Kluyveromyces lactis: one gene and its partner. The protein of the gene in region 1 purifies or fractionates together with the protein of each later gene. This does not show direct contact. Links are inferred from orthologs where the notes say so. Each region holds a gene or a part of one and is shown on either strand. Other genes may lie near its edges.

The links. Proteins that work in one complex are often made in the same cells at the same time.
Region 2: the proteins of KAR9 (region 1) and BIK1 purify together in Saccharomyces cerevisiae (affinity purification with mass spectrometry; 3 studies listed by BioGRID, with this or other methods). This does not show direct contact. The link is inferred for Kluyveromyces lactis from reciprocal best matches to the Saccharomyces cerevisiae genes KAR9 and BIK1.

The regions. Positions count from the first base shown.
Region 1 is NC_006040.1:67,155-70,917, reverse strand, and holds KAR9 (Kar9p), read left to right. Parts: upstream 1-1,467; coding exon 1,468-3,174; downstream 3,175-3,763. Other genes in the region: ATP-binding cassette permease MDL2, read left to right, coding at 1-1,079; KLLA0_D00704g (uncharacterized protein), read right to left, coding at 3,364-3,763. UniProt on the Saccharomyces cerevisiae protein: Involved in karyogamy. Component of a cortical adaptor complex that orients cytoplasmic microtubules. It may be involved in anchoring cytoplasmic microtubules to the cell cortex.
Region 2 is NC_006039.1:110,994-114,040, reverse strand, and holds BIK1 (Bik1p), read left to right. Parts: upstream 1-1,275; coding exon 1,276-2,496; downstream 2,497-3,047. Other genes in the region: KLLA0_C01496g (uncharacterized protein), read left to right, coding at 1-508; HIS4 (trifunctional histidinol dehydrogenase/phosphoribosyl-AMP cyclohydrolase/phosphoribosyl-ATP diphosphatase), read left to right, coding at 2,858-3,047. UniProt on the Saccharomyces cerevisiae protein: Required for nuclear fusion, chromosome disjunction, and nuclear segregation during mitosis. Probably required for the formation or stabilization of microtubules during mitosis and for spindle pole body fusion during conjugation.

The sequences.
Region 1 (3,763 bases):
CCACCTTTTACTCGGAATTGATGAAGGGTGCTGGTGCAGCTACGAGATTGTTTGAATTGCTTGATTACAAACCTACTATTAAATCAACTACCGGGAAGGCGTTTAAACCGTTAAATGGTAAAGTTGAGTTTCAGCATGTTTCTTTCAGTTACCCAACAAGAAAAACAAATCAAATCTTTAAGGATCTCAACTTTACAATAGAGCCAGGTTCTAATGTATGTATTGTAGGTCCATCAGGAAGAGGGAAATCTACAATTGCCTCGTTATTGTTGAGGTACTACAATCCAACATCCGGTAAAATCTTGGTTGATGGCCAAGATATTACAAAATTAAGTTCGAAATCCCTTAGAAGACAACTTGGTGTGGTACAACAAGAGCCAATATTAATGTCTGGTACTATAAGAGAGAATATTACATATGGTGTCTCTAGGCAACCTTCAATGGAAGAAATCAGATCTGTAGCAAAAAAGTGCTTCTGTCATGCTTTCATATCTAAATTCCCTAATGGTTACGAAACTATCATTGGGCCTCGTGGTGCTTTGCTCAGTGGAGGACAGAAACAACGTATTGCTATCGCTAGAGCGTTATTAAATAAACCTAAAATTTTGATTCTCGACGAAGCTACATCTGCCCTAGACGTTGAAAGTGAGGGCGCTATCAACTACACTTTGGGGAGGTTAATGAAGAGCAAAGAATTAACTATTATCAGCATTGCTCATAGATTGAGCACAATCAGAAGATCCGAGAATGTTATTGTACTTGGCATCGATGGTTCAGTTGTGGAAATGGGTAAGTTCAAAGATCTTTACGCCAACCATGATAGTGCTTTACACAAATTATTGACAGAACCTTCAGAACAGCAGCATTCCCAGCACCAACAATACGCTCCACCTGCCATAACTCAAGAATCTGAGCCACAAACAGAAGAAAATGGCAAAGATGATTCTGGTGAAGATCAAAATTCTGACCACGAAGAAAACTCACAAGATCAGAACGAGAAGAGACTGCAAGAAGAAGTTATACATCAAGTTTTAGAAGATATCAGTCACGATCAAAAAACTTCAACGCTCAGGCCATGAGTAATTGAAGAAATTTCCCACCTTCCTTTCTTACACTGCATAGGTATCTTACAAGTGCACCAGAGTTGGTACTATGTATTATTAACATATAAATATACACATAAACAACATACAAGGTACCAATCAAACAAATATATTAATATTCATATAATTTCAGCTCTCCATGGAAGTCATCTAAGCATTAATCTTTTGATGTTGCAAGCTTCCTGACCTCTACGTGCCTTATCTACCAAGCAACTTTTCCCGTTACTTCAAATGAAATCATCAATAATTAAGATTAGTTAAAATGTAAACAAAGGCATGGGGTTACGAAACGGAAAAACAGTAGGCGATAGAGAAGCAGAGATCCATTGTCCACACTAGGTGTGCTTCAGCAAGCTTCTATACTATGGCAGAGGAGCTGAAAGGATTTCCTCATGAGAGACTATCTATCTCATTGAGGAGTAATTCACAGCAATATCAAGATATTCTTTTGTTTTTTGATGATTATCAGTTTGATTTGGATAGCACCAACCAGCACTTGTGTAGTCTGGCAGAATTACTGTTAAAGTCTCATACACTGTTGGCAGAGCTGTTTTCTGATGATGTGAGCGTTTCTCAACTCTTACCGTATTTTGATTGGATTCAAGAGGGAAGATCTGAATTTTATCAGCTCTTCAACGGGATAAAGACCATCGAAAAGGTGTTGCTGCATCTGATGGAAATCATCGAAGAGGAATTTGGGTGTAATGAAGATGAACTATTCCAGAAGGAGTTGACTGCACTTTTTGATTTATTAGAGGAGATATCAGATACATTAGTGTCCATAAAACCAATCATCTCATCATTAAAAAACCTGTTCGACACCGCCATAGAGTTCAACGAAATATTCAAAGATCATATGAACAGTCTAGATGAAGAGATAGAAAACAATTTGTCTAAATGCATTGAACTTCAAGAGCAAAACTTTGAATCTCCTGTAAGACATAATAAACCTACTTTCACTTTGGATCAATTGATTAAAACTTTGTCTTCAACAAATTCTCCTACCAAAGGACTTCAGATCCCTGCCTTTTCTCCTTCAGAGCAAAAGATTCATGAAAAGCTTACACAGTTGGAAGATTCTTCGGCACCTATAGATTTGTCACTAAAACATGTCCTTTCAGAAAGATTAGATAACTTCGAGACCCGTGATGTTGTCAATTTGGAATATCTCATGCGATTGCTGCGAAAGAAATACCAATATATATTGGATAAGTATGAACTACTACAAGTTGAACTCAGAGACCTAAAGCAAGCAATTGTTGATGAGAAATGGGTTCTCATATTTACAACTTTGAATGACGAGCTACGGATTATGCTGAAAGATGTGGAGAAACTGCTGCTGAAGGTAGGCAACCCTGATCTTTCGGAGCAGCTGAAAACAAAACTGCATGATCAATTGAGAAGCAAATCGTACACTATTGATAAGACCTTCGGTATAATATACAATGCTCTTGAAAGCTCGATATTGAATGAATCAATTGCAACCGTTACCAACGAACATGCGGAAAAGTGGCTACAATTAAATACAAAATTTGAACACTTACTGCCGGAACACCAAAATGAAAATGATCCAAATAAAACTATCACACAGCTTTCCAATGACATCTCCGAGCTTCGGCTCAACGATGCACCATCTGAGAAGCCAGGTTCAAACAGGTCTAGTATTGGGGCGATATTATTTAAGAAAATGAATATCAAACCTGTCTTGGTAAGAGAAGGAGATGAAAATGATTCAAACAGCGATAATGTGAAATGTGACCGCCACAGATATTCCAATCCATTTTTTGATCCTTGCCAAGCTACTAAATTAAGTCCAAAAAAGGTACTTAACTTTAACAAAGTACCTGCTCTTTCTTTTGAACAACAACTGTCCATTTTGGGAACACTTGAATCCCGAGCATATGATATTAACAGATTGAAACAGTACGGTAAACTCCCGACACGCATCCCCAGACTTCCTTTCCAGAGACAGAAAATCATTCCACATCGTACTATTTTATTCAATTTCGATGCCAACTGGGTAAAAAAGGATAATCACCAACTGAAATTTCCCGTATCCTATGTATCTTAGTGCCTTCCGGACTAGCTCCAGATAGTCCATTCCATTGTAACACTATAAATACAATAATCAGGATAAACTAACTTTGTTAATAGGTAATTATCTAGCTTACATAATAAACCATACAAAAGTAGCTACTGACAAAATGCCTGACGTAATTAACAGGAATTATTTCACTCCATTAAAAATACTAAAGGGAATTCAGTTAAGGCTATTCAATACTTGAACAGTTCTCTTTGCGGTTGAACTAGCCGATGCTGGATTGACACCCGTAACTAACCTACCATCAGCAATCGAAAAATCATCCCATGGACCAATTGGGGCCATGTACTTTGCATGATACTTCTTAGCGATATCTTCCACAGTATCTAACTTCTTTTGTTTTAGTATATCGGCAACACCTAGGATTTCTTCACCAATATCGGTAAAACCAGTAATAACTTTACCTTGAATCAACGGTTTACCAGTATCTTTATCAGTCAAACCATCAAAGATTGCCGGACCATGGCAAACAGCAGCCACAACACCATTATTAGCATATATATCAGAGGCTATTTTTTGTAAATTCTTGGCAGTTGGATAATCGAATAACGTACCGTGG
Region 2 (3,047 bases), on another chromosome or scaffold:
AACCGCCGAGGCTATTTCTGATGCCGATCGCGAGAGTGTTTTGAACGCCCATAATGAATACAGAGCTAGACACCAATCCACCAATCCATTAGTTTGGAATGAGGAATTAGCCGCATATGCTTACGATTACACTCAAACATTGTTCGGTAGCGACAACGATCCATGTAACTATAAGCTACAACACTCTGGTGGTCCGTATGGTGAAAACTTGGCTGCTGGTACTAACTCCGATCCAGCTGCCTTAGTTGGCTTGTGGTACGATGAAATCAACTACTATGACTACAACAATGTCACTGGTATCTCTCATAACGGTCATGATGTTGGTCACTTCACTCAATTGGTTTGGGCTGCTAGTACTGACGTCGGATGTTCTGTAACAAAATGTTCTTCCGGATCCGTCTACTTGATCTGTGAATACTCTCCAGCCGGTAATGTTAAGGTTGTTGGTGGCAATGACGCTTATGTGTTGTATAAGCAAAACGTCAAGCCGTTATTGGAGAGCAATTAGGAAACCCTGTCCAAAACTTGGATAACAAGATCTGATCGATAGCTCTTTTTATGATGGCCATATTAAACACACCTCGATAGAATTGAATAAACCCAACAGCTCCAACCTTCTTCGTTGAATGTATGTTTTCACATTGGTCTTTGCACCAAGTAAGAAAAAACAGCTATTCTATCGTACTCATTGCAACCATCCTTCTGGATTTACTCATGGCCCTGGAGGCACTTAGAATATACCAGTGTTCAAAAGAAACACCCTAATGAAACCTAACAAAAAAGCCATCACTAATCACTTCTTTATTACCTTTTACCTTGTTCTAGTTTTACCAGTTTACCAATTTTCTTTAATGATATAATTACTGTATTGTAGCTAACGTCCGGAAAGTTAAATAGTGAACATCATTTATGAATACAATTACGAATAACTACTTTAGGAACCAGAAGCGGCTAGTTCTATTGCTGTTCAGCAGAATATCATCGCATGAAGTTCGCCTTGCTTTTTCATTTCTTGTTTGGAAGTCAAGATTCACGTGAAGGAGTTTTCTGTTCTATTTACCTTTTGTCATAATAACAATATTTACAGTCAATAGGCAAAAAACTAAAATCCTTAATCTATGGAGATACGATAGTAACAGACCTGAGGTAACGTTTCCAAATACCTTAATTACCAGTATTTTCTCAGCCTTTCCTGATTTTTCTTTGGTTTGGTAAATTTTTAAAACGTATGCCCAAAACACCTTCGTTTCACATCCCAACGGTCTATTTCTAGTGATGGATAATCAAGACTGTATAGGACTGGTAATTGAAGTTCCTAACATAGGTAGAGGGCAAATACGGTACATTGGCTCAGTAGAAACAAAGAAAGGAACATTTGTTGGTATCAATTTGTTTGCTGGCAATGGAAAAAACGATGGAACTTTCAGAGGCAGACGGTATTTTGAGACTTCTTTCCCTCAAAGTGGACTTTTTATCCAATGGGAAAAGATCGCCAACTTGATCCCAATACCTTCTAACCCTGAGGCAAATATGACCATACCACCTGCATCACCTACTCCCGTAAGGATTAACGCAAATTTTTTAGGGTATCATGAACCTCTTCAAAACAGTTTTCCTGAAATCAAGTCGCGAACTAGTATTTCAAATGTCATTCAACCGAATGACGATCCGATGCAAACTACTTCCTCGGACTTAAAAATGTTACAAACAGAGCTAGTTCAATACAAAAGACTAGTAGAGGATCAACGAATTGTATTCGAGGAGATCCAAGCTGCAATTGATGAATATGAGACTAAGTTGGATACCACAGAAAAGGAGAAAGTTCTACTTCAAAACCAACTCGACCATGAAAGAACGTCCCATCAGCGCCAAAAGCAGTTTTATGAAAGTGAACATGATCAGCTTTTGACTGTGATAGACGAGCTCCAATCTGAGATAAACCGGAATGCTGCCATATTAGCCGAGATTATGCAGAAGGAAAAGAAAAATTCCCTTGAAAATGATTATGTTATGCAAGATGAACCGAACAGTGATGCCCTTTTAATTAACGATTTAAGGGAACAGATACTAGAACTACAGCAACACAAGACTCAAGCTGAATTGCATAGGGTCCAATGGGAGAAAGAGAAGGAGCAACTGCAATTCCGTAACCAGTCGTTATCAAAAGAATATAAAAATTTGACTACTGAGATGACAGAGTATCAACAGAAATCCCATGATACAGAGACAAAAGAGTATACTCTCAACAAGGAATTAGACGATGCAAGGAAAAAAATTGGGGAGCTCGAATCCCGAGTCGAAGAATTATCCAAAAAACAGGAAGAAAATACACTTATTGTGGACAGTAACATTGAAACCTTGCCGTTATACAATCCAGGTGCCGAAGTAAAGTCAACTTTAGTGAATGCAGCTGCAGGGCGCTCGTTGTGGTGTGCTCTTTGCGAAAAAGACGGTCATGAATCAGTAGATTGCCCATACGACGACAAATTCTTTTAGAGTCAAAATTCGTCCCTTTTAATATCCATTGTTGTACTTGCATCATATATATAGCATACTTAGCGCATCATCATATAATGAATCATCTTATAATGAATTACCTACAGTCCATCAATCGCATCCGGACTTCTTCTTCGAGTTTTCATTGGCTTTCCTGTGTTTTTTTCATCATATGACTCATGTAATTCAGTGCATATGCGTTCAATCATATTTTCACAATCCACTGCAAAAATCAAGCCTCCTGGTATATAAAAATGAAAATATGAAATATGAAAAAAAAATAAGTTAGTCGTCATGCTTTATCAAATTTCGTTACATTCAGGACTGTCCACCTAAGACAAGAAGTCATAAAGCACCAGAAATGTTGCCTGTTGTACCTGTGTTCAATGCTGTCAATGCGTTGAAAGAAAAGACTTACCTTTACTTATCCAGTCAATTAGTACTTGATGGGAAGGATATGACTAAAGATGATATTTTGGAATTTGTTCAGAATAGTCATGGTCAAAATATTTCTGTTCTATTGAAAGACGCAAAATTTGAGGATGATGATC